4 linked regions of the Schizosaccharomyces pombe genome follow. The protein of the gene in region 1 interacts with the protein of each later gene in a pairwise test. Each region holds a gene or a part of one and is shown in the gene's direction. Other genes may lie near its edges.

Region 1 (5,573 bases):
AGGTATCCTCATTGGTATAGTAAATGTTATAAGTATTTAAAGGATCTATTTCTTCAACAGAGTACCATATATAAGCGTCGGTATTCCTTGTAAGCTCTAATATATCAACTGAATCTGAATTAGCCATTAACGAATTTATAGGTACACAAAATATTTGTTTGCTTTGTAAGAAAACTTTTTGTTTAACTTGTTGTACAACACAAAGGTTAGCGGCTTTTAGAAGCTTTTCAGAAAAGCAGGATTGAGTTGGAATAGTACGAAGTGAGATTCTTGAAGCGATCCCGACAGATGGCCCACGAGCGACAAGAAATGCCTCTGTACCTTCCTCGGATATAACAGATTCGTTGAATTCATCAAAATAATGAAGAGAAGGCGAAAGCTGTACACTATCATGTTCAGTATCAGATTTTATCGAAGCAATTCCATAGACATTTTTTCCATCTGACAAGCGAAGGCTTATTGGGCAACCATTTTTTTTACCAACATTGAATAATAATTCAAAAGGAACATGAATTAAAGAGCAGTTTTGTAAGCACCATTGTATTTCAGTATGTACTTTTGATGGACGAATGACCAACTCAGCATCTGTTTCGGTTTTTCCTCGTTTAAATGATGAAATATTTTTTTCATTGGATGCTAAAAAAGTAAAACTATCTTTTCTTTCAATAACAAATTTCGTTTCTGAATCCACAACTCCATGTCGAACAGGTTGACAAACTTGTACCAAAATATTTTGGTTAATAAAATCGCTTTCCATTAAAATAGCATTTCTCCCTTTAATCCTTTCAATTATTGCATCCTGATCTTGTGAATTGTCATCTATAACAATCAACTGCACAAAATCCAGTTTGACAGGTGCAATTGTCGATATGTACAAGGCATCAGCCAGTAAGTTATCATAACCAGAAATTTCAACAGTACCATCCTCCAGATCTTCATTATTAATTGGTAAAAATATGCGACCAGCGATTGTAGGATTAGTGGTCATGTAAACATAAGCAGAGTGTTCCTCGAAACCTGGCAACGCTTTCTTGAGCCATAAATATGAAACCCATGCTTGCTTGCTTTCATCTAACTTTGGCAACGGCTTTGCAAGTGTGCAAATGCGATTTTCCATAAAGTAGTTTTCCGTCCTGCAGTATGAATATTTAAAATAAAACGTTGATACAGTTGAAGGCAGGAAATGCGACGATTTTTAAAATCGATCCCAAAAAATATGCACAAACATATAACTATTTATGAAAAAAGAGTATTTATATTTGTATCAATTAGATGCACAAATATTTACAACGAAATTATATTTTGTTGGTTGCAGGAATCTGACAACCTTGATGTCTGAGTACAGAAGATGAAGTTGTGCAAAATGATCGTTATTGAAAGTTAAACTTAACATTGAAGTTTCGTATCAAAAATTTAACATTTATTCAAGTAAAACTAAAAAAAACAAAATCCTGAAAGATATAAGCAAAAGAAAGTATTCCGTGAGATATACTAAGTGTCATTTACTGAGTTAAAATAATTCTCTAACGCCTAAAAGCAAAATATTATGAGTAAATTGAAATTAATCCATTCGTCAAGCCAACACTCTTAAAAGCAAAAAGAATTGTTAAATGGTAATTTTGATAGTTGGTGACTACATCAGAGTTCGTAAACGCAAGGACCCATTTTGGTCAAATAATACTATTTTTTTTTTGAAATAAATTGCGAGAACTTTTCCTTCTATTTGCTTCAAATAAAAAATCAATTGAATACAAGCTATTCTGCATCCGATCATAAAAGTCTAATTTATATCAGCAAATTCATTCGTTGTACTCTGTTTCATTGTATATTTATGTTCTTATTCAATCATAATTGCAAATTATTTAATGCCCATCAATATTTTTACAATAAAGATTTTGAACCCAACGTAAATAGTCTTAAAAAAAGCGATGGTGCTTTAATAATAAGACCATTCATAAACATATGGACGGTTAATCTCGCTAACCTTAATGTACTTAAAGTTAAAGCTAGACGATAAACACCATCCATGCTTCGCTACCGCCCATCTCACTTCAAAATCGCCTTGTTCTTGTAACACATCCCGTTTTGGTGTGCTCCCTAATGAGGTGATACTGTCATCCTTTTACTTGGGTCGTGTAACTACGATTTTATGTATTGATTCGTAAATGGACCAAAGTTCATCTCCTTCGCAGCCAGAGTCTCAGGCTCAACCGAATCTATGTATTCCCTGCAGCTTGGGAACTTGCTTGATCCATTTCCATGAGTTTTCTTCCTCAAGCTTTATGGATCCTGTTTCTTTGTTTTGTTCAAGTCCTTATCCTAACTTGCCACCGCACTCTCGTTCTTCTAGCCTTGAATCGAAAAAGCCTTCGGTTGCCTCGCAAGATGTAAAGTCTGATGGTACTTTGCCTATTGGTACTAATAACAATCCTTTAATTCCTTCACATAGTCAGGAAAGTAGTCACTGGACAATTCGACATGAATCAATGCCTTCCGCATTGGCTGGTAGCTCAGCACAATCCATGCAGCAGTTTCCCTCTATAACTCAGAATGAGGAAAATTTTAGATTTAAAAAGTCTTTCACACAACCACAACCCATTGTTAAAGAAACCACTTTTCCAAAATCCGAACCTGGACAGGAGCATGCAAAGTTATCCGACCTTTCATATGAGGAGTTTTTAAAGAAATACTCATCTACCAAGGTTGAGAGAGTTTCCGAAGCTGCCCCACCTCCCTCAAGTCTAAACAGCTCAACTGTGTTGGATGAGAATGATTCTCTAATTAGTCAAGGTTCATCAGTTGATGACCAAACGGATTTTCTTGGTTTTGACGATTCTTTGTCATATGCTTATATTTTGAACCCAACATCTGATTCTGACGTCGATTTGATAAGGCAGTACTTTATACCTAAAGAGGGAACCTATACATTTAGTAATATGCACATTCGTTATGTTTCTGCAAACCCAAAAACTCCAGTTATGTACATGGTTGATCCAGCTTATGAGCCGCACAAACAAATTGCTCGTTATGAAAAACTTCAGCAAATATTTCAAGTGGTTGAAGCCACAGTATCCCCAGAAGTCGGCGAACGATTGATTGGCCTTTACTTCCGGTACATTCATCGCGTATACCCTGTTATTCATGGCGAAAGATTTCTCCTCGCCTTCAAAAAGGCAAAACACAAACTGTCCCCTATCCTTTTAACTGCGATGTATGCTTCCTCAATTATTTATTGGGATGCGGATAAAGAGTTAAGAAATTATCCTCGCTTGGATGCAAAAAAATTATGGGATCTTACTGAGGATTTCTTGGATCTTTCCTTTTCTCTCTCTCGATTAAGTACGCTACAAGCGGCGATTATTTTTTTAACGGGAAGACCATGGATTAACGTAGCTGGAAACTGGAGCATTTTGACTAGAGCGATTGCTTTAGCGCAAATTCTCGGGTTCCATTTGGATTGCTCTGAATGGCAGATTCCAAAGGAAGAAAAAATCTTGCGTAATCGAGTGTGGTGGGCCCTTTTTGTTAACGAAAAATGGCTTTCGATGTATATTGGGATCAATGCAAGCATTCGTCAAGATGACTACTTAGTACCACCATTAACGGACAACCAGCTATTGGCTGGGGAGCAAAGGATTGCCGACTCATTCAATGTATTTGTTAAAATGGCGGAACTAAGTATTTTGCTTCAAAATGTATTACAACATCTTTTCAACGCTCGAGCGGTTATGACAATGTCGAAAAATCGGCGTACTGTGGCTCAAAAGATATCAAAATATCTGATTAGTCTGGAAGAATTTTCATGTAGCTGTAATTTAAGAGAGAACCAACCTGGATCTTTATCATTGTTTTTACAAATCGATGCCTTGGAGTTGTTATTACGGAAAACAGCATTGAAACTTAAACTGACAGATGCAGTATATCAGCAAGAAATGTTGAACGTGGTGCAACGTTGTGTTTCTCATTTTCTAGCCATTAACGAATCCCATTTTACTGATTTTTTCTGGCCGTATTCCCAATTCTATTTTTGTATCCTATCATCTGCAATCATTAAGATGTATCTGGACTTTGAGTTTAATGAAAATTTTAATGCTACGACTTTTGGCCTTTTGTCATCTTTCACAAAGCATTGTGTCTGGCTGAAGTTTCGAAATTTTGATTTGGTTTTCATGGCTTATAAGCGATTAAACGCGTTGCTGATTGAATTAAGCTCAGGTAGACCACTTATTGGCAAACTTCTACAAGAAACCTTTGAACATCGAAAGCGTAACTTGGACGAAACCCTGACATAATGATAGTGTTTAGACCTTTCTAATTCTTTTTTTTTTGTTTGGTTTTAAGAGTTGTTAATTGAATACTTATGAGCCTATACCTACCTAATTAAGGATATCTACACATTATTATTTTTTTAGTCAGCTCTAGTTGCTTATATTTTATAAAGTAGTTTAGGATCCTTGTTAATTTGATTAAAGGGCTTCATTAAAAACATCTGATAGAAAAGTTTAAGTGAGTTAGGAATATTCACGAAGGATGGAAAGATAATATTGAAGTGATAACATCCTATCGTTTTATAATGAGATATTGATTGCAACAATAAGGTTTATCAGATCTGAACATATATTTATTTATATTTTAAAGTTTACCAGGTGGAAGCAAAAAAGATCTCCTGAGCCAGAATCGAACTAGCGACCAACCGGTATCATCGAAATTACAGCCGGGTGTGATAACCAACTACACCATCAGGAGTTAGTTGAGAAGTGGTGTCTAATAGAATATATATAATATATGAAAAATTAAATATCTTGTATCTTAAATTAGCCGGAGTAGATTCAAATAATGATGATAATTAGATCCGTACAAGTTTATTAAAAAGATGAATGAAAGTAATAGTAGGCTTGAATTCCATTTTTTAAGAACAAATATGAAAACTCTTGATGTGGATACTAGAAGTCTAAGCAATACAGGTATATAACAATAATCCATATTCTTAAAATGATCATCAGAAAACGCTTATTCTTACATATTTTTACTTCATTACAATTATTTACCAGTTTTTTTCATCTTTTCATACTCTATAGTTTCTTATCAAATATTCCGTATAAATTATTAGAGTTGACTTGTACCAAGATCATCTGTTCAATTGCTTTGTGCATATATTTTACTTATGTTGTTTATTTTTCTTTCAGAGGAAGAAGCCTTTTGGCTGTGTCGAATGCGTAGATATGTTATACAAACGGTTATAATCCGGGATATGAGAACTAAATGTTTGGTCACTATAGGACAGTTTTTCGTTATAAAAGAAATAAATTTAAGTGCTTAAAGTACTAATTTTATTAATTCATTGCTTTATTTAGGTCATATTGCAATCATTGATAAACTCAAAGCAAAGGTTAACATAGGTTCTCAAAATTTTGAAAACCCACTGTTAAATTCATCAATTGCAATACCATTTGGAGAAGTAATGATTAAACAGTTTCTTAGTATATGCTTTGTTTATTCGTAACTGACGAACATTTCCGTCCCCCACGCCCCCCACTTATATATAGAGATCCATTCAGCGGACCGAAGAACTA
Region 2 (4,721 bases), 3.6 Mb from region 1:
CCAAATTGAGTCAATACAACACTCTCACTAGCAAGCATGTAATCCTTTCCTTCGGGGGTATCACGTTCACCGATCACTAAAGGACGAATGCCATTGGGATCACGGAATCCCAAAACACCCAAGCCTGCGATCATAGCAACACATGCATAACCACCATTAACGCGATCGTATACATTACGCAAAGCTTCGAAAATATCATTTTCGTTTATACGAAATTTATCCAACCGTTGAAGCTCGTAAGCAAAGATGTTAAGCAAAAGCTCAGAATCAGATCCAGTGTTTACATGACGATGGGCCTCAGTGTCCAAAAAGCGTCGTAATTCGGGTCCATTAATTAAATTACCATTATGGCCCAACACAAGACCATAAGGAGAGTTAACATAAAAGGGTTGTGCTTCAGAGTGAGCACAACTTCCAGCAGTAGGATAGCGCAAATGACCAATACCCATACTACCTACGAGTTGGCGAAGTTGATGCTGACTAAAAACATCGGCAACCATGCCGGATCCCTTGCATTGGTAAAGACGACCTTTGTTTCCAGCGGTTACAATACCGGCGGCATCTTGACCCCGATGCTGCAAACTGTAAAGACCCTCATAAATTTCAGGACATGCCTGTTGATGAGGGTCAGCAAGCATTAACGCCAAAATTCCGCACATTTTCTAAAACTTGTTAGAGCTTCGGTTGTGAATTGAATACAAAAGATAATAAAATGATAGGTTTAAATGTACAAAAGAAAAAACAGCACCCAGTCAAATTGCTATAACTTGATTAAAATAATATGAGTCGGACTGTTCTATTCGGACAGCAATCAAAGTTTGAGAATACTTGGAATATAATTTCAATTTTTTTGTACCGACCGTAAAATGAGTTGTATGTTACCATCACAGAAAATAAAAAATTTTAATCAATTAAGCAGACCTCAGAAAACCTTGTAGCTACATAAGATGAAATTCAGAAGTCTAGCATCTAAATAAACGGTAATCATCATAGGCAAGTACTGCGGCGTTGGAAAATCAATATCTATATTAACTTACTTTTTAAAACGCGTACGAAACAAAAAAAAAAAGATTTTCAGGTACGCGCTGAACAAACACCGTAGTTGGGTATATTGTTAAGGCAAAATTTTGCTGCCGTATAAATTAATTTATTGTCCGCCTTAAATGATAGTGAAGTATGAGTCGAAACTATGACTGCTCAAGATTGTGATGAACGATTCGCTAAATAGAAGCTTAAAGAGAGGTGGGATATGCGCACGTTAATATAGGTAACAGGTATAGCTTGCTACTTAGCTGACAGGGTAGATGATATTAAATTGTTTGCTATTTTTGTTGCCAAAAAAAATTTTTTAAGCTTAAAAATATATCTTTAAATAAAACCTTCTTATATCAAAAAAAATTCGATGAAGTTAAGAGTGGTGCAGTGTTACAGTAATGCCGCATACACATCAACTTATTATTGAGCTTTACCGGAGGTATCCCATTACTATTTATTTGTTATAAAATCTTTCAATGTTCTGGTTTTTCTTCCTTCTTTACTCGGTAGTTAACAACAATACATTAATCACCGAGATGAGAGCTATGGGTAATCTAATCCAAAACTTTTAGTTCAACTTGTTACGATTGCAGTAGTCCAATGGTTTTTAAACTTAAAAAACTAATGAAAACAATACACAATGTACTGTATCTCTAATCTTCTGATTCCTCAAAATAATAGTTTACTAACCGGCTTCAAATATTTGTTCCTTAATTGGTGTACAGAGGATCATTTTCTGAGCGCTTGATTGATATTTTTTACTATCGGATTGATTATAAACCAGGATCGCGAAAACGTACCGATTTATAAATCGTTGATTATTAAAACATCTTTTTTAATATTGCACATTAAACAAAATTACAAGTGCAAAGCAATAATTAGTTTTCAAGCAGCTCCACATTTTGAGTTGGTAAATCATTTTAAAAAAAAATCATCAATAGTTCATATTTCATGAATACATTTTTCTAAACACAAATATAAATTCAGCACATTTTTATTTCAGATAGTGATGTGTAACGTGTAAACTTTTGGCTCGTTAGTAGGGATCTAGGAAAGTAAGGTTTTCCATCTTCATCAAATATTGGCGTACTGCAAAAAAACCCAATAATTCGTCTTCTATCAGGTTATAAAAGATTTTGGCTTCAAAGCATCCTTTTAGGTAAAAACCTTTTGTAAAAGCATCCAACGCCTTGAAGAACAACATCTCACAATGTCGTTGTATGAGCATGCTGCACTTCCTTTAGCCAGTAGCCCTTCAATCCTTGGACCTATTTCTGGTGGACGAAATCGGGGGAATATTCAATTACAGTCTATTCCGATTGAATTTCAAGCTGTTGTTTTTGCAGGATTTGGCAATAGGTAAAACAAACAAGTGTAGTACTGACTACTTAACGATTTGGATAATGATGACTTCGCACATATTATCTTCATCAACACTTAAAAAAGATAAAATAACAATAAGAAAATACTAACCATGTTTTAGTTTATATCCTTTGACTGGAAGCGATGCACTTCCCAAGGCTTTATTACCTATCGGCAATAAACCGATGCTTCACTACCCATTATATTGGCTTGAAGCTGCTGGATTTACTTCTGCTATTCTTATTTGCATGGAAGAAGCGGAAGCCCATATCAATGCTTGGTTACGATCTGGCTACGAGGGACATATGCGTATTCACGTGGAAGCACCGACTATTTTAGATGATTCTAAAAGCTCTGCCGATGCTCTTCGTGCTGTATCCCATCTTATAAAGGTATGATTTATTTTTATGTATAAGTAGATATGCATGTGTTCTTAGACTTTTTGATCTTTTCTCTCTCATTCTGCAATTTAATTACTCGTCTTAAAGTCACAAAAAATGCTAACCGATACCCACCAGAATGACTTTGTGTGTCTCAGTTGTGATAGTATAGTTGGTCTCCCTCCCATATACGGTTTGGATAAGTTTCGCCTTGATAACCCTTCAGCACTGGCTGTATATAGTCCAGTGTTAAAATATGAGCATATTACAAGTCAATCTAAAGAGATTGATGCAAAACAACTGATTGGAATTGAAGAGAAGACGAGCAGACTATTGTATGCCAAAAGTTCCGCAGACGTGGGCAGTGATTTTACATTTAGAATGTCTTTGTTGTGGAAACACCCAAGGGTTACGTTAAATACAAACCTTTCGGATGCCCATATATTTGTATTTAAACACTGGGTTATTGATTTGATCCGGGAGAAAGAATCTATTTCTAGCATTCGTGGAGATCTCATCCCGTATCTTGTTAAATGTCAATATCAGAAATCCTTTACTGTACGAGAGAACATTCAAAGATGTAAGTGCTTTTTTTAATTAACTATTTTCTAACAATTAAAGTTTTGTCATCTCCTAACAATATTGATAATTATGATGGGGGATTATCCTCACAGGAAATTAAAATTAATGCTTTAATTGCCAAAGATGGGATTATTTGTTCTAGGGCTAATAATTTACCTAACTATTTCGAACTTAATAAATGCGTATGTTTTCGAAAGCTGAGCTTCATCTCGCTTTTTAGCAGTTTCATCCAATATCTCTAACAGCAAACTAGATCGCCAAACTTACTCCAGAACAACGCCTTGTAGATGTCACCGTGTCCGAAAGAGCACTGGTCGGTGCCGATTGTATGGTGAATGAAGGTACCACCATTAAGGATAACAGCAACATTAAAAAGAGCATTATCGGTAAAAATTGTGTAATTGGAAAAGGGGTAGTGGTCAGCAACTCTATTTTGATGGACAACATTGTTGTTGAAGACGGAGTACGTTTAGAATCTTGCATAGTCGCCTCAGGTGCTCAAATAGGCGCTAAGTCAAAACTTCGTGAATGCGAAATTGGCGTTGATCATCGCGTTGAAGCTGGCCGTATCGCTCGGGGTGAGCGGCTGGTTGATATGGAAAAAATTGAGACGGACATGGACTAATACTGTGTATCAAACCGTTGTCAGCCAACCTTTTTTTTGAAATAGATATAATAAAAATTTCGTGCACTTACTCTACAAAGTGTGTCTAAACTAATCAAGGTAAAGGTGATATTAGTCAGGAATTTTTAGATTAAAAATATATACTCATAGATCAATATTAGCTAAAAGCGAAGGGGAATAAATTACAGATGAAAACGCATGTACATATATATGCAAAAAAGTTATACATATATACAAGGTTATACACATATACATCTAAAAAAGTTCATATCGCTATGGGTTAGTAATAACTCGAAAATATTTAAAACAAATAAAATAACCAAAAACTTTAGCACTCAGCGATCTTGGTGATAATAAAAGAATCATTTATTGATCATAAGCAAATATTTCATCAATTGCAAAGCAGAACGGTTATTTGTTTTGAAAATTAAATTGCCTTACCTAACGTTCATAAAAAACAGGACGTTCTTTAACTCCATTATTATAATATTTAAAACTTAAAACAGTTAGCAAGGTATTCGTATTAACAAAAGCAGTTGATGTAATGGAAATCAATCAGAAGATTATTTGTCGCATACTGATGGAGCCCATATGGGAATCAGGCAAGATCCCGAGCAATACCATCGCTCAATCGCAAATTATAGTCATCATACAAAAATATCCAAATAACATATTAATTTTACTTACCTAAAACTGGGTGTTATTAGAAACAGCTACATTACATATCTCACACTGGT
Region 3 (8,030 bases), 1.5 Mb from region 1:
TCAGCGCTTATTAACCTACTTATTATAATATAATAGGTCACAAGAATTATCACCGGGTTTTACGTATCGTTAAAAAAGACACTGAACTGCGTAAGTGTCACCTATTTTTTTTACCGTACGTTATGAACATAGCTTTTTAACTAAAATGTAAATAAATAATGATTAGATAAATTGCAACAGCATTTTAGAAGAGCTAATCATTAATATCAATCAAAAACATTTCTATTGTCTTAAATTAATTTTCTTTCTTTTTAAGAAGAAGATCCTTCAATAACAGTCGATGAGTTGATATATTGTTAAATTATTTAATTTCTTACATTCAGAAAAAGATTTTAGTAATTTATTGACAAAGAAAAAAACTAATGTAAAAAATTAAACAATTAGTTACTTATAGTCGTCTTTTTTTTTGAAAAAAATAATTAAAAAATCTCGTGAAAGAGTTTTTAAAGATTTATGCTAATTGTGAATTAAATTATGGGCAGTTCAGGTAATTCTTGCTTAAACTCAGCTACCCTTCTGTTAAAATGAACATCAGGAACTTTAAATAACCGCTATTTACATTATATACCTTTTTTAAGAGCGGCAGATCGAATAAGGTAATTAGGAATTTTCATAAATTAGTATTATAGAAAATATTTACATGTTGGTCGGGTAATTTTTGAGAAAACTCAAACAAGTGGGAGCGTAAATCTATTGATTAGCACACAAAGTCCAGATCCACACTTTTTAAACTATCAACAAAAAATGTATCCTGCGACAACTTTGTGTATAACTTGAGTCTAAAACAAATTTGGATAGCTCACAGATAACCTTTTGCTAGAAGACTTTAAATTTATTTAAATCCTTAAATTAAAACAAACTGGTAATAAATAAAACAGAAAAAAATTTATGTACATTCAACTTTCTATTCTTCGTCCTCTGAACCGATAGATTCGCTACCGTCCTCGCTGTCGCTGTTTTCGACATCCTCGTCGTTATCAGAGAATAAAGGTTCTTTAACATCAATATCATCCATATCATCAACATTTTCAAGAGATGATGCCTCATTCAAATATGAAACAGATGGATTTTTAGGGACTGGTGCAGCTTTTTCTTCAGCAAGACTGGAGTCCATTAGTCCATGCTTTGTCGCGTAATCATTTACTGCTCTAAAGACACTTTGATCAACCATATCGAATGAATATATTGTACCACCAGCTTCAAAATTAACTGTAAATGTTCGTTGCAAAACATTACTATAGGAAAAATGCTGGATGCTAGCTAGTTCAATGAAAAGTATAGGTTTACGGAAGCCCCATAGTATGCCAGTACGCAGAAAAAATAAATGCCCTATTTGATTAGCAATTTTGACACAGAATTCATCCTTTGCATACCATCTTTAGCTTTATAGTTTGCTTCAACCCCATATGTCGTGCCATTGTCCCCCGTTTGCGGGTTTGGACAAACAAATTCTTCGACAGAAGGAGACAAAGTACTAGTGCCAATAAACTCAAAGTAATCGCGAAAAATATCCCATGAGTTCGTGCAGTGGGTGAAGGATCGTAAACCTTCAACGAGGTTGAGCTTTTTCAAAGGATACGGTGCCGTAAAAAAGACAGGTTCTTTTACATTATCACTTGAAACAATATTTTCTGCCGACGATTCACTTTTAAGGATGATCACAAAGTTGTTTTGAACATTAGCTTTCCTTGGACATGGGACATGGATTGCACAACGAATTTCATTCCAGGGAAGCCAAAATTCAATTAAATTGGGTTCGCCTGGTAATGTTACTGCTATTCCATTTTCATAAATGTAGACGTCTAGCTTTTTTCGCATAGGTGCCTGAAACGATAGATTAAGTACTCCATAGACCAATTGACCTAACTCATGTTGAACACGATCCTTTCGTTTTAAACTTCCAGCCTCCTTCACTTGGCCTGATTCGTTTTCCTTTTGCAATGTATTGATGTACTTGCAAATTCGATGCACTAGAGGCTGTATACTTTTTGTTTTCCCTAATTTCATTAGACTAAGGAAAAAAGCATGTACTCAAACCTTACCATATTGTTTGATTATATCTTTTGCTAACTCAGAATCTTTGGCAAATGCCTTTTCTATTTCATCGTTCACGTTGGACTCCATTAGAGATGGCTGCCGGCTAGAATTTATTGAGTCTTAAACAAGGGCTTCGACAGCACACCACACCTCAGCTAACAGTAACAAATGTAATAGCAACTATTTCCATTATCATGCAAATGATTTCGATCCAATAAAAATTTTATCCCAAGTGGTTACGTTCAAACTTCGGTTCGCTGTTGACTTTATGTTAGCAACAAATTTTTATTTTATGGATCAATATGAATATGCTTAATTTATAATTGCTCAATTTTACTCAACAAAGGTAGTCATTTTACATAAATGAGATAAAAACTCATTCTATTATCGTATCAGTTACTTTCGTATGAAAAGTCCAAAAAAGTTGGGAACATTTTGTGAAACGATATCGATTTTCCCTTTGATTCTTTTTGCGATCTATAGATAAATTTCAGCTGTAGAACTGATTAGCTTTCTTCAGCATTGGGAAGGTCAGATTGTTGCTCCTATAATCGGATATGGTTTCCCTTAAAGTTGTTATTGTTTCGATTTTGTCAAAGAAATTATTAAATGATCCTAAAATTCGTTTTATTGGTTTATGTTGTTCCCGATGTAATCAACGTGTGTTGACATTTACAAACGTAAACAAATAGTTTGTTCGCTAGGTCTAATGCAATGAGGTGTTTTAAGACATAAGCTATTTGTTTTGCCTATTTTTCCTTTACCCTCAACCTCCCTCAAAACTGACGGTTTGTATAAATATTTAAGGAAACAATTTTGATAATTGTCCTTACAAAACTTACATAATTATCCTAATTGCTTTCGCGATCAACCGATTGAAAGAATTCCTATATTCATATTGTATTTTTTAAGCGTTCTTCCGACATAACTATTAATTTCTTTTAATCAATTGTATAATTATCCACGAAAAAGGTAGAATGGATTTTAGAATAACAGAAGGATCTTCCCCAACAAGCTTAAGTGTTTCGGAAAAAATTGCAAAGTTGGAATCGTGCAATGATAGTCGCATCACTTGTCGTCCTGTGAGAGAATCAAAGCCTACCTATACTTCCGGCCAAAAGCATTCAGCGTTGCTTTCGAAGTTGAAGCGGTCTAAAGTTACAACCGATTTTTGCAAACTTGAGGAATCAAAGGGAATAATTTGTCAAGAAAATTTGCATACGGAAGGCGCTAAAAGCAAAACGGAAAATATTTCTGGAGAAGACAAATCTTCTCAGAGAAGGACACGCTTGAAGCAGATTCAGGAATTTATAAGTCATCGTCGCTCTTTTCTCAATTCCAATGCCAATTCTGTGGAGTCTGAGAAAATCTTGGCTGAAAACAATCATATGTTTAACGTTAAAAGCAAGTTAAGCAACAAAGAATCGTTTATTAAAACCCGGCGTCCTCGAACAAATGGTGAACTTTCTGATTTAAGCCTTCAGCCTAAACGAATATTTAGTGAACCCGTAAACTCTCATCCTTCTCAATCCATGTTCGGCAACGGCGTACGAGCTTCCTCTGGTTCTTACTCATTAAAACGTGATTTGAAAGATTATGAAGAAGAACTTCCATCTTCTAAAAAGCGCCAAAGAACGCCGCCTCCGATAGTCGTTACCAATTTTCCTCAGGAAATATTTCCTTCAAAAAAAATTAGTTTATCTGCTAAGAGGAGGATTCAGGGGAAGTATTCCGGGGAAAATGTTAGAGCAAGGATCGAGCTAGCTAGGGAGAGAAATAGAAAAAGGGACTATGTTTCAAATTTATCTAAAGGGCATACTACAAATGCTTTAGAAGAGAATCCCTTTAATTTAGGTCCTAATTATCGGGCTTCCACCAGAAAATGTAACAGAATAAAGGAAGCTATAAACCTATTTGCTGCTAAAAATGGTTCAATGGAAGTACCACCAAAAGTGTCAGTCGGTGATTCAGTTCTGACAACTTCTCAGAAGTTTTTGCAAGTGATAAGGGAAAAGACTGCGCTACTAATGAACCAAGATTCTAATTCAGTACAACCACAAGCATTGGCTGCAGCAGAGTCTCCTACAACAAAGGCTCCTACAACAAAGGCACCGACATCTGAGGCTCCTCCCAAGGGTCATGTTAAACAACTAGCCAAACAACTAGGAAATATTTACATGCCACAATCGATAAACAATGTTGAACCGACATCCCATTCCAGCATATCTAAGGTAGTTAATCCATCAGAGAAAGTTATTTCAAAAATTGAGAGAGCGTGTCTAGCTGGAAATGGTAATGTACACCCGAGCATAAAAATGGAAAAAAATTTAGAGTTGAACCCTCATCCAAGAACTTTGAACGCTACTGAACACAAAATCAATAGTCGTATACAGGTATCGAAACTTAACACTAAAAATGAGCTTGCTAATGCTGATCCCAAAATGTATTTACTTGAAAATCTTTCTGACCGCCTATATTTTTGCAAATTAGCAAAACTTTTGCTCAGGAAATACCCTTTAGACATCGCGGAACACCAATTTGCGTTAGTTTATTCAAGATTCCAAAGAATACCACTAAAGCAGATTTCTTGCTTAAAACAATCGTTGGTTGCGTATTATTCAGTGCTTTCGGAGGTTGGTATTACAAACGAAATAATGTTGCGTGAAAATCGGTTTTCTTCACCCAAAACCCCCGAAGGTCTAGTTTCAATTTCAAAATTACTATTGGATGACCGAGAGCATCTTAGTCATGATGAACGTAGCTATATTCAACAATTGCAAAGTCAGATTAAGTCTCAGTCAGTTCACCATGAAAACGCAGCTGAAGAAATTCGCAAGATGCGCAATTTACGCAATTCACGCATAAATAGTCAGCAGGTTGGCGAAAAAGTTTTTGTGAATCCAGATGTCAAAACTATGGATATTCAGGAAACGTTCCTACAAGATTATGAAGATGAAACGTTTGCTAACGAAGGTCTGAGCGCTTCAAAGTTTAAAGAAGAGTTTTTGCTTATAAGTGATAGCAAGAGTGATCTCAATTCCGAAGAAATAGCAACTCCCAATTCTTTGGAATTTAAAAACAATCCAAGAATTAAAGTTCCACGATCACTTTTAACTATTTTGAATTTACACGACCGTTCTCAACTGAAATTGTTCGAGGTATGTCACAATTCAGAGTTTAAGGACCCCATTAATTTATCCAATTGCTTACGGAATTTGCTAGAGAAGCAGCTATTGTCGTACAATTTTACAGATTGGTTTGCTAGTTTGGGATCTGAATATGAAAATGTGTATGTAAAATTCATATCACACTATGACTTTTCAAGTTTAAATGTTTACGCTTCCTTTCAAAAATTATGCTGTGATCTTTACTATGGCTCGGATGATTACATACACTCTCCTATTTTGCAAGTCTTCGCATCTTGTTGGCTTAAGCAAAATAGTAATTATGGGTTTTTAAATGAAGACATTATTGTTAAAATAGTATTGATTTTAATTGATTTACATAAATCAACCTATTCTAAAAAGCTCAATTCTTATGTCGTTCCGATGGAAACTTTTGTGAAATATGCTCTCGAGAAACTTCGTCCTCTCATATCTCCAGATTCAGTTTGTATTTTGTCGAAGGAGGACAAAAAGCATTGGCTCAAATATAAGAAGAACCGATCAACGTTTGCCAAATTGCTTTTCTCAACGTGGAGCAATTTACCAAGCGATATCGGTTTCATACTTGAATGCATGCTAAAAGAATATTATGATACGTTTCTGAAGTCTCCATTTGCAGTACCAAATGCCGTGCAAGCACAGTTGCACAACCAAGTAAGAGGTGATTTGACTCCCAAAAGGAATCGATCATCTCTGATATCTGAATTAATGAAAAGTTCAAAATTACTAAAGCAGGAGAGTTCTGGAAACAAAAACAGCACGAGTCTTGAAAGTGATGCTTTTAAGGAATCTTCGTTTGTTTTGAATGAAGAGAATGGAGGAATTTACGCAGGAAAGGAGATTGATCTTCCTGAACCATCAGTTATAGATGGTAGACCACATTTTTCGGTGTTTAATTACACTCATCATATGCAAGAAGAAAAGACTCATAACAGGTTACCATGGCACCGACGAGGCATGATTTCATATAAGAAAATGGTTTTAAGCAAAAACAATAGATGGGTAGCAGGTTATTGGAAGAAAAAGTACTGTATTGTCGATAGTGGAAAACTAATCTTTTATAAGTCAGATCATTTAGATCCAAATGCTTGCTCAAATGTTAGCCCCATCCATAGAGAATTTGGCTTGCAATCTTGCTTGGCATCTCCCAATTTACCTCCATCAATTAATTCTAATCGCAATAATGTCTTTTATCTAAATATTCCAGGAAATGAGTGCTATCTTTTTGAAGCGCCCAGCGTATTAGCGATGAACGAATGGATTCATTCTTTAAATTTTAATGCAGCCATGATTACTTGCCCTCCTCTACCAGAAAATATTACAAACACTGAATATGGTTGGGGGTACATTTTAACAAGAGCTGAGAAAAAGGCTTATTATACTGCTGCTGATGGAACCAAGACCTTTGTCGGTGACCTGGCTCAATTAACACGGTGGAGTCCAATGGACATTCAAGGATTACAAGACATTCCTCGTCCACTGCGTGATAAGGTTCATATTTTACGAGATTGTGTTCCTTCTTTACTGGAAACCTGCCTTCTTTTCCAGTCTTTGCCTGAAAAAATGGAGAAATGTTTTGCCGCCGGATCTAAAAATTACCTCAAAGCAATGGATAATTGGAATAGAAAGATGAAGTTTCTATATGAACGATCAATGATGTACAAAGAGTACCAGCGAGTTTTGGAATGCGAGTACGAATATCGGAAATCCCATGATTTCTACCCAACTTTATCTCCTGTAAGATATCCTTATGATTTTAAAGGATTATAAAATTAAATTTCATTCAAAGTAGTTAAACGAATAAATAAACTTGAGTGATGAAAAGACATTAGGCCTCCGATTGAGAGAATGCTACTTAGATATCTTTTTTTTAGCTTCTGAAGAAGAGGGTTAATAGTTGTCGAGAGTTCCAAATAAAGTATTTTGATTTTATTTAGATTTGACAAATCTTTTGTCATTTTATTATTTTTTTATGCTTAAACTTCTGATAACATCCAGTTATAGAATATTTCATTATTGCAATATATGCTTCGATGGGATTATTTCAAATGCCTTAATACGCGCTCGTTGAAACTGAATAACTACGTTGGTTACCGCTCATTTTAGCTTTAAACTTACAATAGTAACTTTACTTAGATACTTAATCAAACAGCTTGCGAGAACTTGGATACATGCTATAGCTACCAGAATGCTAAAGTCCAAGTTTCACCTATTTTGAAATAAAACAATATGAGTAGAGGTGTATGCAATTAATAAGGAATAAAGCAATTATAGAAACAGAAAGAAATTGCAGTACTTTTATATTTCACCTTCGTTGATTTATAATACTGTTTTAAGCATTAATTTCTGATTAATTTTTTCTCGCTTAGATAAAACTCTACATAATCCTTCTTTGCAAAGTCACGTCGCAATGGAGGGCGCTAACGGTTAACATAACCTGAGCACATATCGCGTCTTTTGTGCAGGCGTTTAACAATTGCCCGATATTTAAAGAATCACTATTGATAAAACGTACTCATAATTATTCTTCTACCTTTAAATTATTATTGACTTTGTATGATTCAACGAATTATAGTAGAGTTACTTTCCACCTACGTCGCATCAAGGGTATAAAACGACTTCATCTTAATAGATATACGTACTAATCAATTTTAGATTGCTAGAAGTTCTACATTCCAACGCCTGGTGAAAAGCGGAATTCGCAGAGTTGGACAAGAAATCCCAAATTATGAAGCTAAAGCTCCGCTGGAAAGGTCATCAACGATTTTTAACAAGGCAAAACTCTTTGGTAGGCTTTATTTGGAGTCCTCTAAAGAATACTTTTTCAAA
Region 4 (6,112 bases), 2.8 Mb from region 1:
AATTCTAGCATTTCTTCAGTCAGAAAAATATATCGAAGACTCTAAGTTTACCCTTTAAATGTGTCACTTGTGGTTTTCTTATACGGAAAAGATACAGAACAATCCACGGCTAAAGGAGATCCTCATCCAACAACCCGAGAAAGTCTATCATTTGGATGAACGGATACTCATCCAAAACTTTCAAGAATTGTGTTTTTTTTGCTTCTATCTTCAATGCCCTGTATCGAACTGAATTGCGATTGTCATTAATTTGCCTTGCTATGCCATACCAAGCCAAGCTATTTTAAGCAAACGGTTTAGTTGGACTCCAATAATAAATGCTTTACAAAAAAGAAATGCGATTGATAAACTAGAACACTCTCCAATGTATGTCTACCAATTCCTAAATACTTTCAATTCGCAACATTCTTATGGCCTTTGTGGTCGCTTCAATTCGGCTTTGAAAACCGGGTTAAAAGGCATCGCATAAATTTGTATCTTCCAAAACAGTTGATTTTATAAAAAGCTCATAAATAATTTCTCAGCGCGAGCAAATGGTAATTTCTTTGAAATCAGCGCCTTTGGAATTTTCATTTTACGCCTTATTGACATTCCCATCGATATACGTAACATGTTACTCCATGATACATGGTTTCAGCTGATGCCAAGGCATCGTTGCGTAAGCATTACGAAGGAATATGATGATGGAAGGAGGCATGGGTTGGGCAGTTTCTGCAGTCTGCTAAATTTAAATAGTCTGCCTATATATATTAAATCTCTCGCACTTTTATGACCTTCCCTCTCCCATACATATTTGCAAGTTTGCGTATAACGTTGCTTTCTAACACAATTTACTTTTAATCCACTTCAAACACTTGGTTTAGCTTTTAAAGAAAAGCTTAGGATTTTGCTACTGTTTGTTACGAGGAATTGTTGCAGAAGAATTCAATTTTTTTAAGTCGTATTTACCAACGATTTTATTCAATTTAAAAAGTTTGACTTTCATAGGCTGTTGCTTAGTTTATCGTCAATTCCTTGCGTATTGCCGGAACCTAGTTAATATCTAAAAAAACACAAACAAACCAAATTCCAAAAGTGGTTGAAAATTGCCGCTTCGCTACTTTTACTATCTCCGGGAAAGAAGACCTGTAATTTAATTTTTTCTTCTTCTTCCAATTCGTACTATTAATATTACCGCTAGTTTCTTCTTATTCTTTCGCCTACTACTTAATTGTTCAATATGCAAATTACTCGTGAGTCAAAATACATTATTGGGCTCGTCTTAGCCTTGGGTGTAAGCTTTGCTACCCTTTTGGCTCATTTGTTTACCAAACCATCTCTTGAATGGGTTTACAATCACCATGCCACTCCATTTTTCGCCAACAAGTTCATGCTTGGTGGCTACCTCTTGGTCGAATACTTGTCTTTCCTTTTGATGATTGTGCCCCTTTTAATGCTTGGTGATCAGGTAAACGATTTTACCTTCTCCATTATTCACACATCTATCTGGTACAATGTATTTGTCGTGTTTACCGTCTGGGCATTTACCCGTGAGAAGCTGTACTGGACTGCATTCTTTTCCTTGTGTCTATTCTCATCTTCTTTCACCATGTACGGCCAATCGCTTCGCTTGAGAAATGGTTTTGTTGAGATGATTAGCATGAAGTTGCCCTCGAAACTTGTTTTTGGCAAGTCTCTTTGGTTCGTTGTTTATGCCTTCTCTGCCGCTTTACACTGCACCGGCATTGGTTGCCGCGTCTTTTCTAATGTGTTTATCTGGTTCTTTGCCGCCATGTATCTTGTTCCTATTTTAGGATTCCATGACTGGGCTCTTTCCCTCGTCAGCGCATACCTTTTCCTTTCAATCGGTATTGGACAAATGTTTATTCACCTCTTTGCCTTGCAACACATTTTCGCCTTTATCATTGCTGGTCTCATGACCCTTTTCGCTGCTCTTCTCTTCCTCCTTCCCTACAGACAGAGACGCGCTGCTTTAACAGGCGAGAGTGCTCCTTTGCTTCAGGACAACAACGCGGGACCCGCAGTTTAAACTCTTGTAGTCTTCTGCATGTTGTTGCTCCGTTCTACTAAATAGTATGATAATGAATTTGCTTAATTGTATTATGTTACACTTAACTTTAGTATAAAAATTTAATTTTTCTCCCATAAATCTTTCGACTCAAAATTCAGGTGGATAGCAGATTAAAGCATAGTTTTGACGATCAACTTCATCATGGTTAATAGCACCCTTCTTAGTATAAAGTTGCTTCGTGTGCTAACTTTACAAGCACTTCATTGACGAAGACATCCAGCTTATTCTTATATGGATCACGAAAGTGTCATCATATTCAACTATTCGTACTCTGGCTAACTTGTACGCTAATTATTTAATCTTATTTGCTTCATGTATTTATTAAAGAACCCTTAAAGCAAAAAACTTGGTATACACTACTTTTTCTTTACTTAGCTCAATATCTCAATTACTTTCTCATGCCGACGGTTACGCACCTCCATTCAACCTTGGCCTACTCCATATATCGAACCATCAAAATTCCTTCATCTTGGTATTCTTGAGGCGTTAAATACCTTCTTTAAACCTTTTCTTTTTACAATTCCTTCGTTTTTCTTGTTACTGTAAATATATATCAATTTATTTAAAGTTTGCGTTCAAAGTTCTATAAACGAATTTTACGTTCCAACTACTGCGTTTGACCTTTTTTTTCTCTTTATATATACAAATACCAAGTTATAAAAAAATTCATGTTTTCCGTACGTCTAAACTATGAGTTTTCATACTGACTGATATAGGCTAAAGCAAAAACCTATGAACTAAAACTAGAACAAACAAGATGTAATGGAGATTGGCAGGCAATTCCTGAGGTTGCTAGAAAATTGCATAAGCATAACTCTTCAAAGTCCTGTGAGTGATTTACAGTCAAAGTTTTCCACTTGTCATCTAGACTAACCTTTTTTTAGTCGTTTGTGAATTAGCAAAAATTGAAGCTTCTCTTAAATCAGCATTAACTGCTGAACTAAAAAATATTGCAAACGTTTTGGAGCCTAAATTAATAGATAATCAGTATTCCCTAATTCCGGCTTTACCCAGTGCTCGTACCGACCCTCTTCTAAGTCAATTAAACTCATTGAACATTCAAAATGCCACAGAAGATGAGAAGCTTCAGGAGACATCCATACGCTTGTTATTATACATTGTACAGCGTAAATTTCCCGAAGCCGTAGATTTAGATTGGTCTCCTCAAGGAATTCCGTGGACTGAAACTTCCACTGGTATATGCATCCTACAAGCAACAGTGCTATCATCGCTAGCTCAATATGCTCAAGCTAACGATGAAGTTGCATATCAATACGTTCGTTCGGCCATTGGCTTAATTCAAAATGCCAATATTGGCAAGAAGCCTTTACCGGAACTTACAAGATGGTGCGATCTTGCATATTCATTGTATGCTCAAATGTCTGTAAGCGCTTGTTCGAGTCAATTAGAAAGAGCTAATATACTTACTACATGCTTGAGCTATTTTACCGAGCATAAGTCCGTGAATTTGCTTTATAAACTAGTTACCAGCAGACAAGCTATTAAATATTTGGAACATATTTTAAGAACTAATACAAATGGATCAAAAATTTTTACTAAAAGTCCGGTTAAAAATCTTTATTTAAATTGGCCTCAACTTGTCCTCGATTATGGGTCTTTGTTATGTAACTTTACCTCTTTTCCTAAAGCTGGTGATCAAAACATGTTCGCCGTTGAATTTATTGAACTTGCAACATCAATATGGATAAACACAGAGAAATCTTACGATATCACTGTCAGCTTGATTCGAATGCTTTATCAGCTTACTGGAAAATGCTTCCAAGCACAACAAATTTTTCGTTCTTTGGTATTTTTTTTAAGGCATATTGAGGAATTTGAAGAAGCTAGCGAGGCTTTTGAAATTTACAAGTTTCTATGCGTAAAATCTCACGAACGGTTAGCAAGAAAAAATTCAGATGTCGCTGGCTCTTTTTCTGATATCAAACCAGTGTTTGTTGATGAACCGAAAAGTATTATTGAAGTATGCTCCGTTATGATGACCGTTTATGCGCAATATCTTCGTAATTTGAAAAAAGTTTCTGAAATACTTGATTATATTACAAAAATTGCTTCTGATTATGATTTACTGAAACGTGACGATATTGCTCCTTTAATTTATCATACAGAAGGAGTTGCTTATTCTTTCATGTATTATCAAGCTAACAACCCTTCGTTAAGGGAAAGATATCACCAGAAGAGCGTCCAATCTTACCAGAAATGTCTAGAAAAGCAACCAACCAATACAAATGCACTTTTCCATTTGGCTATGCAATATTCGGAGAGACGTGCCATTACTGATGCAATGCAAATTGTTCGGCGACTTCTTGAGGTGAACCCTAAGTACAGTATTGTATCTTGGCATCTTTTGGTTTTGTGTGTGTCTTGTTCTGAACAATACGCAGCAGGAATTAAGCTGATCGATAGTGTATTTGAAACTTGGGGCATTAATCATGTCAATGAAGATGGCACTATTGAGATTAGTTTGACAAATTTGACATTTAATGACCGCTGCGCTTTGGTCGATTTATTGATTACGAAACTAGCTCTTTTTGAAGCCGAAAAAGGCGTAGAAGCTACTCTGGATATCCAGGATGAAATATTTACATTATTTGCTAGTATTTTTGATTTGAATGAGTACAGGATATCAAAGGAAGGATCGTCAGATGAATTATCAACGCTTTTAGAACGATCGACTATTCAATCCATTAAATCATCCAAGAAAATCTCTAAAGATGTGGAAAATGAAAAAGGAAGTATTCTTGGGTTTTCCAGGAAATCATCGCTTAAGAGATCTACTGTTTTAAGCAAAAAATCCCACTCTTCCTATAAAGAAAATTTTCAGTTACGTCGTGGTAAAACCGTATCATATCTCAATCAGAAGCTTTGGCTTACCGCTGCATCTCTTTTCCTTAAAAGTGGAAATGATGATCAAGCACGAAGCGCTTTACTAGAAGCTAAAAAAATAGACCATGAATGTGCTTGGGTGTACTATTTAAATGGTTTATCTTTACTACAACAGGGAAAAGAAGTTGAAGGGTATGAGCAACTTGACGTTGCTCATTATTTAGACCCGGAGGATCCCTTAATTTCGACGGCCCTTGCAAAGTGTCTTTTACAAGGTGGCTATGGGCCTATGCATTCTCGTAGAAATAGAGCAGATGCTATTTTATCGAGCTGTACTTTGCAGTATGGCTGGGATCTACCAGAAGCTTGGTATTATACTGCAGAAATATTTCGTCAACTCGGTGATTTAAAACAAGCTGCGTTTTCGTATGATTATTGCATCCAGCTAGCTGATACAAACCCTGTACGCCGATGGAGTAACTTGCAGCCTAGGTTTATGAACGTTTAAACTGTCTACATTTTTTGGACTTTTATTATTTATAAATTGAATTTACAAACTTTAAGGCACTTTCAATAGTAATTTATATGTTTCCTTTGTAGTGATTGTAACTTCAATATGAACTCACATAATAGACATAAATAGATAAATGTTATTTATGACATTGTGTTAAATTAATAACGAAGCAATTGCACCTTGAATCAGTATCTATAACAGTCTTCTTTCCAAATCACCAACAAACAAATAGCATTAGATAATTGCACCGAAAATAACGATTCAAGGACATTTCAAAATTAGCGATTATTTGGTCTGTATTTGCAGCGTCAAAAAACTAAGAGCTTTCAGGAGTGTTGTCTATAACATCTTTGGAAGATTCAGTATAGGCAGAGGATCTTGAATAATATTGATCCAAAATCTTCTTAGGAATACGAGTTAACATCTCACGAGGGAAGATGCGAAGGAGGGACCAAGCCAAATCCAGTGTTTCAAAAATAGTACGATTCTCGTAAGCACCTTGACTAATGAAAGTCTTTTCAAATTTACCCAAAAATTCAAGAGCAAGGCGATCTTCTTGAGAAAGGGCTTCCTCGCCAACTACTGATTTCATGGAAGCAGCATCACGACCGATGGCATACATTGCATACAGCTGGTTAGAAACATCACCATGATCATTTCTAGTCATTCCTTCACCAATGGCA

Evidence for each region.
Region 2: the proteins of dal81 (region 1) and tif223 interact in a two-hybrid assay, tested with the Schizosaccharomyces pombe proteins (one large-scale study listed by BioGRID).
Region 3: the proteins of dal81 (region 1) and spo7 interact in a two-hybrid assay, tested with the Schizosaccharomyces pombe proteins (one large-scale study listed by BioGRID).
Region 4: the proteins of dal81 (region 1) and ypp1 interact in a two-hybrid assay, tested with the Schizosaccharomyces pombe proteins (one large-scale study listed by BioGRID).

The regions. Positions count from the first base shown.
Region 1 is NC_003424.3:1,745,637-1,751,209, reverse strand, and holds dal81 (transcription factor), read left to right. Parts: upstream 1-2,044; 5' UTR 2,045-2,165; coding exon 2,166-4,292; 3' UTR 4,293-4,742; downstream 4,743-5,573. Other genes in the region: pex6 (peroxin-6), read right to left, coding at 1-1,117.
Region 2 is NC_003424.3:5,365,303-5,370,023, forward strand, and holds tif223 (translation initiation factor eIF2B gamma subunit tif223), read left to right. Parts: upstream 1-2,102; 5' UTR 2,103-2,245; coding exon 2,246-2,394; exon of another isoform or gene 2,395-2,463; intron 2,464-2,518; coding exon 2,519-2,789; exon of another isoform or gene 2,790-2,912; intron 2,913-2,915; coding exon 2,916-3,357; exon of another isoform or gene 3,358-3,398; coding exon 3,399-3,541; intron 3,542-3,612; coding exon 3,613-3,984; 3' UTR 3,985-4,076; downstream 4,077-4,721. Other genes in the region: amidophosphoribosyltransferase Ade4, read right to left, coding at 1-659. UniProt on the Schizosaccharomyces pombe protein: Acts as a component of the translation initiation factor 2B (eIF2B) complex, which catalyzes the exchange of GDP for GTP on the eukaryotic initiation factor 2 (eIF2) complex gamma subunit.
Region 3 is NC_003424.3:3,245,584-3,253,613, forward strand, and holds spo7 (ArfGEF Spo7), read left to right. Parts: upstream 1-2,175; 5' UTR 2,176-3,014; coding exon 3,015-6,971; 3' UTR 6,972-7,298; downstream 7,299-8,030. Other genes in the region: histone H3.3 H4 heterotetramer chaperone Rtt106, read right to left, coding at 905-1,329, 1,374-1,997, 2,043-2,124; pcd1 (coenzyme A diphosphatase), read left to right, coding at 7,930-8,030. UniProt on the Schizosaccharomyces pombe protein: Appears to have a role in sporulation.
Region 4 is NC_003424.3:4,541,335-4,547,446, forward strand, and holds ypp1 (cargo transport protein Ypp1), read left to right. Parts: upstream 1-2,501; 5' UTR 2,502-2,739; coding exon 2,740-2,748; intron 2,749-2,787; coding exon 2,788-2,899; intron 2,900-2,955; coding exon 2,956-5,423; 3' UTR 5,424-5,612; downstream 5,613-6,112. Other genes in the region: SPOM_SPAC637.03 (uncharacterized protein), read left to right, coding at 1,220-2,029; vma2 (V-type ATPase V1 subunit B), read right to left, coding at 5,746-6,112. UniProt on the Schizosaccharomyces pombe protein: Involved in endocytosis.